Oryctolagus cuniculus: one gene and its partner. The main gene of each other region encodes a partner of the protein of the gene in region 2 in a complex. Links are inferred from orthologs where the notes say so. Each region holds a gene or a part of one and is shown on either strand. Other genes may lie near its edges.

Evidence for each region. The genes of interacting proteins can lie anywhere in the genome.
Region 1: the proteins of FLT3 (region 2) and FLT3LG are in contact, whole or in part, in a crystal structure (PDB 7QDP), measured with the Homo sapiens proteins. The link is inferred for Oryctolagus cuniculus from reciprocal best matches to the Homo sapiens genes FLT3 and FLT3LG. Residues at the interface, in NP_004110.2 of Homo sapiens: Asp180, His279, Gly280, Phe281, Gly282, Met300, Ser301, Thr302, Tyr303, Asn306, Arg307, Met309, Arg311, Ser333; in NP_001191431.1 of Homo sapiens: His34, Ser35, Pro36, Ile37, Ser38, Ser39, Asp40, Lys44, Lys87, Glu99, Asn102, Thr103, Glu104, His106, Phe107.

What each region holds. Positions count from the first base shown.
Region 1 is NC_091449.1:7,942,983-7,947,567, reverse strand, and holds part of FLT3LG (fms-related tyrosine kinase 3 ligand), read left to right. Parts: intron 1-1,530; coding exon of another isoform or gene 1,531-1,619; exon of another isoform or gene 1,620-2,609; intron 2,610-2,785; coding exon 2,786-2,955; intron 2,956-4,383; coding exon 4,384-4,500; 3' UTR 4,501-4,585. UniProt on the Homo sapiens protein: Stimulates the proliferation of early hematopoietic cells by activating FLT3. Synergizes well with a number of other colony stimulating factors and interleukins. Required for the development of B cells, and dendritic cells (DCs).
Region 2 is NC_091440.1:86,511,164-86,515,614, forward strand, and holds the end of FLT3 (receptor-type tyrosine-protein kinase FLT3), read left to right. Parts: intron 1-2,587; coding exon 2,588-2,710; 3' UTR 2,711-3,162; downstream 3,163-4,451. UniProt on the Homo sapiens protein: Tyrosine-protein kinase that acts as a cell-surface receptor for the cytokine FLT3LG and regulates differentiation, proliferation and survival of hematopoietic progenitor cells and of dendritic cells.

The DNA of each region.
Region 1 (4,585 bases), on a different chromosome or scaffold from region 2:
AGATGGAGAGAGAGAGACGGGAGACAGAGATGGAGAGAGAGACAGGGAGAGGGCGAGAGAGTCAAGAAGAGACAGGGAGAGAGAGACAGAGAGTGAGGGAGAGAGACACACAGGGAGAGACAGAGACGGAGAGAGACAGGGAGGGAGAGAGAGAGACAGGGAGAGACGGGGGGGGGGAGATGCCCCATCTGCTGGTTCACTCCCCCACCTGCCTGCAGCAGCGGGGGCCGGGCCAGGCTGAAGCCGGGAGCCGGGAGCTTCTTCTGGGCTTCCCGCCTGGGTGGCAGGGGCCCAGCACTTGCACCGCCGTCTGCCGCCTTCCCGGGCGCGTTGACAGGGAGCTGCACTGGGACGCGGAGGAGCCGGGACGGGGACCAGTGCTCTGCTCCGGGGGTGCAGGCGTCCAGCCCAGTGTTGGCGTAACCTGCCACTCCTCCCCTGCGCTTCTACAGCTGGCCAGTCATTGGAGAGAGATAGCGAGAGAGAGAGAGAGAGAGCGCGTGAGAGAGAGAGAGAGAGGGCCCCCAGCTGCTGGCTCAGTCCCCCCGGATTCCCGCCTGGCTGACTCCATGCAGGTCCAGCCAGGGCTCGGACGCAGGCATCTCAGCCGTGGGGCCGCCGTCCGTCTGTAGGAGTTCACGGGGGTGAACTTCCGGGAGCCATCAGAGGATGCCAGACTGCTTCCTGCGCCGTCTCCCCAGCGCTGGACCTTGCTTCGCAGGAACTGGGCTCTGAAACCCAAACCTGGAAGCTGGCCTTGCTCCAGTCCCGGAGCTGCCCAGCCGCCCGGCGCCGCGCGCAGCTGTGGGTGTCCGTGGGTTCCCCCCATCCATCCCACTGGGGGTTGAGAATATTCAGGAAGAAAGAGAATCCCACGTCTGTACCGAACGAACCTCCTTCCTCGTCAGCAGTCCCTAGACAGTGCAGGGCAGCAACGGCTGACACGCATGTGCGTCACACTGAGGGGGATAAGGCATCTAGATGTGACAGGAGGGAGGCTGGCGTGGTGGTGCAGTGGGGAAAGCCGCCGCCTGCAGTGCCAGCATCCCCACATGGGCGCCAGTTCTAGTCCCGGCTGCTCCACTTCCGATCCAGCTCCCTGCTGTGGTCTGGGGAAAGCAGCAGAAGATGGCCCAAGTCTTTGGGCCCCTGCACCCGCGTAGGAGACCCGGAAGAAGCTCCTGGCTCCTGGCTTTGGATCAGCCCAGCTCCGGCTGCTGCAGCTAATTGGGGAGTGAACCAGCAGATGGAAAATCTCACTCTCTCTCTCTGCCTCTCTGTAACTCAGTCTTTCAGAGAAACAAAACTTTTTAAGAAGATTTGTTTATTGAAAGAGTTACATAAAGAGAGGAATAGACACACACACACACACACACACACACACACGGAAAGAGCTTCCATTCACTGGTTCACTCGCCAAATGGCTGCAGTGGCTGGAGCTGGGCTGATCAGGAGCCAGGAGCTTCTTCCAGGTCTCCCATGCGGGTGCAGGGGCCCAAGGACCTGGGCCATCTTCTACTGCTTTCCCAGGCCACGGCAGAGAGCTGGACTGGAAGTGGAGCAGCCAGGACTCGAACTGGCGCCTATATGGGATGCCGGCCCTGCAGGTAGAGGCTTAGCCCCCTACACCACAGCGCTGGCCCCAGTCAACCAAGTTTTATTAACCCGTATTCTATGTCCACGGCACTGGGGACCCAGCGTGGAACATGCAGACTTGGGGCTAACCTGAGCCAGGAAGGAAACCCCACGCAACCAGACGACGGCGCTCCTGAGGGCACCCGGCCCGGCGCTCAGAGTGAAGTGGGCGATGTTGCGTGATCGAGGCTCCATCCGGGCCTCCCGCGTGAGTGGCAGGGACACAAGCCCTTGGGCCCAAGACGCACATTCGCGAGAAGCTGGATCGGAAGCGGAGGGGCCGGGATCGGAGCGGGCTCTCCGACGGGACGCAGTGTCCCCGCGCCACACGCCTGCTCCCGGGCAGCTGGGAGGTTCCGGCGATGCACAGCACAGATAATGTCCCTCCCCCACACGGAGGGAGGAAGACAGAGCTCTGAGACGCAGCTGTTCAATCGTAAAGGAAAACACGGGTGGTCGTGTGGCCTAGTGGTTAAGCACCCAGTTCCCGGGAGGCGGCCATGCTGGTTCAGGAGCTGGGTCCCTGCCACCCACCGGGGGCACCTGGACTGAATCCGGGCTCTCAGCTCAGGCCCTGGCCACTGTGCCCATCAGGGACTGAACCAGCGCATGGGACTCACTCTCTCTGCCTTTCAAATACATTTTTAAAATAAAATTCATCTTGGAGCTGGCACTGTGGCACAGCGGGGTAGGCCATGGCCTGCAGTCCGGCATCCCATATGGGTGCCGGTTCAAGTCCCGGCTGCTCCACCTCTGACCCAGCTCTCTGCTGTGGCCTGGGAGAGCATAGAAGATGGCCCAGGTCCTTGTGCCCCTGCACCCGCGTGGGAGACCCGGAAGAAGCTCCTGGCTCCTGGCTTGTGCCTGGCCTAACCCCAGCCATCGCAGCCATTTAGGGAGCGAGCCAGTGGATGGAAGACCTCTCTTTCTGTAACTCTGCCTGCCAAATAAACCTGTACGATAAACACATACAATTAGACAAAGCTTTCCTGTCTGCCAGGTTCTCTCTGTCCCTGTTTAATTCACGAGGGAAGATGAACGGGCTCCCCGCTTTGCAGATGGGGAAATCAAGGCAGCAGTGCCAGGCAGGCCCCTCCTCCCCTCCGGAGCCCACCCTGCTCCTCGGTCACGCGGCCTCCTCTCTCCTCAGAACCCTCCACGCCCCTGCCCCTGAGGAGTCCCGGGGCCCTGGGGGCTACGGTGCTGCCGGCCCCTGCGCCGCACCTGCTGCTGGTCTTGCTGCTGCTGCCCTCGGCCCTCCTGCTGCTGGTCGCTGCCTGGTGCCTGCGCCGGCGAGGGACGCCCTGCCCCGGGGAGCGGGTGAGCCGGCGCGGGCCCAGACGGACGAGGGGTGGCCCAGGCCCTGCCTGTCCCCAGGGGCCCCCAGGAGGTGTTGCTTGTGGGTCCTGGGAGGCCTGGCTGAGGGCGGCGGGGTCTGCCTAGGGGTCCTGGGAGGCCTGGCTGAGGGCGGCGGGGTCTGCCTAGGGGTCCTGGGAGGCCTGGCTGAGGGCGGCGGGGTCTGGCACGTGTGGTGGAGTAGGGGAGCGAATTGGGAGGGGCAGGGTGGGCGTCTGGCCGGCCTGGAGGTGTAACGGGCACAGGGGGCCCTGGGCCTGGCTCAGTGTCGGGTGCAGCAGCGAGGCCGGGGGACAGGCGCTGAGCTGGGGGGCCCCGGGGTGTGATGGCATCGCAGGCCTCCGCAGGGGGAGGCCGGGCGGGAGGCAGCCGGGGCTTTGCACGAACGGCCTCTGGCCCCTCAGCAAGGCGCTGCCATGGCTGCCCTGCCTTTCAGGGCGCAGAGGCCACTCGGGCTCCAGGGGCCACCCGGCTGCCCGGGGCGCTGGGACTTGGCCCCCTCCAGGCCCTGCCCTCTGCTTCCCGGTTTCCTCTAACGCACCAAAGGCTCTGCGAATAGCCCCCCTGCCCCCCGCCGGGAGTGAGGGGGCCCAGCCGGGCCCTGAGAGCCCTGCTGCCCCTGGGGAACTGACCGCAGCCCACATGCAACTCAGCTAAACCAGTTAATTTTAATAATGTGTGATTACAGCAGTGTAGCTGTCACTTCAACATGCAACCACTTTTATTTTTAAAAAAGATTACTTGAAAGGCTGACAGAGAGAAGACACAGATTTATTTTTTAAAAGATTTATTGAAAAAAAAAAAGGGGGTGCCGGTGCCGCGGCTCACTAGGCTAATCCTCTGCTTGCGGCGCTGGCACCCCGGGTTCTAGTCCCGGTCGGGGCGCCGGATTCTGTCCCGGTTGCCCCTCTTCCAGGCCAGCTCTCTGCTGTGGCCCGGGAGTGCAGTGGAGGATGGCCCAAGTGCTTGGGCCCTGCACCCCATGGGAGACCAGGAGAAGCACCTGGCTCCTGGCTCCTGCCATCAGATCAGCGCTGTGCGCCGGCCGTGGTGGCCATTTTGGGGTGAAGCAACGGAAGGAAGACCTTTCTCTCTGTCTCTCACTGTCTGTAACTCCAGACCACAGCAGAGCTGGACCGGAAGTGGAGCAGCCGAGATTCGAACCGGCGCCCACCTGGGATGCCAGCGCTTCAGGTGGCAGCTTTACCCACTACGCCACAGCGCCGGCCATGGGATATTTAATCTAACTTAATTTTTAAAAATTACAACTTATTTCGGGAAAAGTAACACATCGAGCCCCCCCCCTTCCCGCCACGCGCAGCGCCCTGGGCCCGGCCCTCCCGCGGCGCGCGCGGCGGACAGACAGACGGACACGCCGTCCCCGTTCCACAGGCCAGGACGCTGAGGAGCCGCGGGGCCGAGGACGCGCGGCCGGGACCGGAGGCGGAGCCCCTCGCGCTGCCCTCGGGACGGAGGCCGCGCCCGGCGCCCGCGGGAGGCTGCGCCTGAGCCCCGGGCCGCGGGGCGCCCGCCCACGGAGCGCGGGGCTCTAAGCCTGCAGGGAGCGCCGGGGTCCCACAGCGCGGGCCTGGCG
Region 2 (4,451 bases):
CAGTTCGAGTCCTGGCTGCTCCACTTCCAATCTCTCTGCTATGGCCTGGGAAGCCAATAGAAGATGGCCCAATGCTTGGGCCCCTGCACCCGCGTGGAAGATCCAGAAGAAGCTCCTGGCTCCTGGCTTCAGATTGGCACAGCTTCGGCCATTGTGGCCAACTGGGGAGTGAACCAGAGGATTGAAGAGTCTCTCTCTCTCTCTCTCTCTCTCTCTCTCTCTCTCTCTCTCTTTCTGCCTCTCCTCTCTCTGTGTAACTCTGACTTTCAAATAAATAAATAAATCTTTAAAAAAAAAAAGCCTCTAGACTGTGGTCTGGATGCCTGGCAGTGTAGGCATGGATTCAGGTTATGCTGCGTTACAGGATTCATTGGGTGGCGGGAAATCCAGTGCTGGAGACGCTTGTTTTTGTTTGTTTGTTTTAAGATGTGTTTATTTATTTATTTGAAAGTCAGAGTTACATAGAGAGAGAAGGAAAGGCAGAGAGAGAGAGAGGTCTTCCATCTGCTGGCTCACTCCCCAGTTGGTCTCAACAGCTGGCGCTGTGCAGATCTGAAGCTGGGAGCCAGGAGCTTCTTCCGGTATCCCATGTGGGTGTAGGGTCCCAAGGACTTGGGCCATCTTCTACTGCTTTCCCAGGCATATTAGCAGGTAGCCGGATCGGAAGTGGAGCAGCCAGGACTTGAACTGGCACCCATAATGGGATGCCGGCACTGCAGGTGGCGGCTTTACCCACTATGCCATAGCACCAGCCCTGAGATGCATGTTTGGATTCAACAGGTTTGATAGGTCATTACCAAGGGCACACGTGTCCGTAGATGTCCATCCTTAAAGGGGCCAGGCAAAGCTGACTTTGTGTCTCAGGACCAGGTTCTAAATGGATACATTTTGGCTCATAAGGATATTTCTTTCTAGAAAGAAAAATTAGGAGTAGGCAACAGCCCAGTCAAACAGAAAGAAATGAGCAGTTGCAAAGTGTGGAGGGAGGAAGAGAGTCTGTGAAGTTTAAATATAGAGCAAGAGGGTGGACATTTGGCTCAGTGGTTAGGATGCCACTCAGTATGCCCACATTCCATATCATTGTGCTTGGCTTTGAGTTCTGGCTCTGCTGCGAAGGTGGGTCTCTGCCACCTACAAGGAGACCTGGGCTGACTTCTCTGATCCCAGACATTTGGGGTTGAACTGGGTGAGACCTTGTGCTCTCTCTCTCTCTCTCTCTCTCTGCCTTTCAAATAAAATAAATAAATATTTTAAAAATATATAGACAAAGATGCTAGATTTTGTTTATAGTAAAATGTATGCAGTTAAGGAGCTTGTTAGCCACAGAGATGTGCAAGGTTCTGCTACCCCTCATGGGAAGGCCCTGAGGTAAGTCCTGTTTCCAGACACATCAGAGAAGAAATAAGTAAGCTCTCCAATTTATGATGGGTCACCTTTTTTTTTTTTTTTGACTTCACAATGACCCAAAACATATCCATCCAACCACTCTGTTTTCCATTTTCAATTCAGTGTTCAGTAAATTACATGACATATATTTAACACTATTATGAAATGGGCGAGGTATGAGATGATTTGCTAAGCTGTAAGCTATCGCCTGTGTTCTTAGCATGTTTCAGGTAGGCGAGGCTAAGCTATGATGTTGAGTAGGTTAGCGGTATAATCAATGTATTTTGGACTTAACAATATTTTCAGCTTCGGGTAGGTTGGTGTGTGTGGAGGTACCCGGTTTCAGTTGAGGAGTTTCTACAACCTCCCTGCAAGGCAACCTGGTCATGTGCATTGCAATTCCACTTCCTCCCTTTAAGCCACGTGTGCACTTCCAGTGCTCATGTTACATACCAACCTATCCACCTACCCAAAGGCTATTGATGGGACATCAGTGCTGTGCGACCATGGGCCACCAATGATACGTGGCCATGCTTAGTGGGTAATAACAATGTGTGGCACATATAACATACGAATAATATAACAACAATAAATTGGTAATTTAAAAGTAAGGTTCTAAATAATACACAACCTGAGCCTACTGATGCACAATTGTGAGCACTTAGCAAGCTGTCCACAATGGCAATTCCAGTCATTTTTAGCCTTGTTCTTTGTATCTTTCTGTATTGTTTCAATTATCTATGTGTGTGTGTGCAAACTTCATAATTAGGGGGAAAAAAGTAAAGCTAGTTTTATTTTTTAAAAGATTTGAAAAGCCCCTAAACTCCCAAGGGAACATTCGAGAACCATTCTCCCCCCCTCCCATCATGAGCTGCACAACGAACACATCTCTTTATGGGGTCTTTTCTCTCTGAGGTTTTTTCTGCCTGGCTTTCAAAATTCGAGAGTGCCTTTTTATTCCCCTAAGAGTAGAAGCAATAGCGAAAGAAAATACTTGATTGTGACTGAATTTCCCCAGTGATAAAAGGACCCAGATGGCTTTGTTAATGACTCTGGAATGCTCTCCAAGTCCTAAGCGTAGAGGAGTGATGCCCCTCCACATGAAACTATCCACTCCGTTGGGATCCTTTGCAGGAGAGGCAGATACAGGTGTGTCTACGTCAGATGGAGCTCAGTGTTTCTCTCTCTCACCCATATTCAGATGTACCAGAACATGGATGGCCACGCTCCAGAACGTTCTTCCGGCTACCAAAACAGGCGATCTTTTGGCAGAGAGATGGGTTCAGAGCTACCCTCGCCACAGGCTCCCGCTGGAGACTCATAGAGAAACCTGTTCGTCTGAAGGACTTCCCCTGTCCACCTATCTTATGCAGGCTATAGATGACCAAGACAAGGTTACTTTCATCACTAAAAGAAAAATATATTATCAACTGCTGCTTTGCCAGACTTTTCTCTAGAAGCTCTCTGCATTTACTCTTGTTTTCAAAGGGACTTTTGTAAAATCGAAGCATCTGGTGCCCGAGGCAGGCAGAGCCGCTAACTAACTCTCCCGGAGCACCTGCCTACATCCCAAGGCCGTCTCTGGCTGGCTTGAGTGAAAGTCGCATCCCCGGAGTATACTATATTCTTGTAAATACTTCCACCAAAAGCATTTTGCTAAGGAGAAGCTAATATGATTTTTTAAAAAATCCATGTTTTAAAATACTATGTAACTTTTTCAGCTATTTAGTGATATATTTTATGGATGGAAATAAAATTTCTAATGTAGAAAACGTTTGTTAGTGAATTATGAACTTGGTTTATTTCGGGCCGGAAGGAACTGGATGTACAAGCTTTTCCTACGGAGAAGGCTCGTTCTTGCATTAGATCCGCGGTAGCTCTGTTTCCACTGTGTGCTCTTGGTCCCCCTGTCCTCTGAAGCTGGGCACCCTGCATCCCGCAGGCTGGAAACGGCACTTGTCCTCATGCCCTGAGGGGCCAGGAGCCTTTTCTTTGCCTTTGACTGCCTGCCGAGTGTAGGTTACAGAGGAGGGCTCTGGGGGCGTTTGTCAGGACTGGGGTTCACTCCCCAGCCTTTCTCAGCTTTGTGACCTAGGCCAACGCTGCGGCCAGAACGTGTCCCCAGGGGGCAGTGCTGTGGTGCACTCTGCTTCTAATGCCAGCATCCCGTATCCAGGCGCCAGTTCAAGTTCTGGTTGCTTTGCTTCTGATCCAGCTCCCTACCAATGCACCTGGGAAAGCAGAAGATGGCTCAGGTACTTGGGCCCCTGCCACCCATCCATGTGGGAGACCTGGATGGAGCTCCTGGCTCCTGGCTTTGGTCTGGCCCAGCCCTGGCCCTGGCCCCAGCCGAGGAGGCCATTGGGAAATGAACCAGAGGATAGAACATACCTCTTTCTTCTCTCTCACTTTCTGTCTTCTCTCTGTCACTCTACCTTTCAAATAAATAAAATAAATCTTAAAAAAAAAAAAGTGCCCCCGAAAGTTCCCTTGTAAACTGAATCAGCTCTGAGAGGTGACCAGACCACATGAGGGCGCCGCCCTTCGGGACACATCCTGTTGTTATCGCAGGTCCCTCGTCACAGGAATGGGTCTGTTATAGGAGTTTGGCCCCCTTCTGCTGTCTTATTCTCCCTCGAACCTTGTGATACCTTCCATGGGTCATCACACAGCGGGAAGGCCCTCACCAGACACAGCCCCTTGGCCTTGAACTTCCCAGCCCCCAGATCCATGAGTAGCGCAACCATTTCAGCTTCAGTGTCCTTTCCTGAGCAATTAGAGGCATAAGGACCTCTCTCTCATAGGGTTGCTCAGAGAATTAGATAATTAAATATACAATGCACTTATACATATAGAACCTAAATATGTAAGTCATTGAGATCAATGCCTGGCATATAGATATGACCTAATATTATTATATGCATTTTCCCTTCTGGTTTTATTTTATTTCTTTTTTAAAAAAAGGTTTACTTATTAGGCAGAGTGATGGGGGGGAAGGGGGAGAGAGAGAGAGAGAGAGAGAGAGAGAGAGAGAGAGAGAGAAATCTTCCATCTGCTGGTTCACT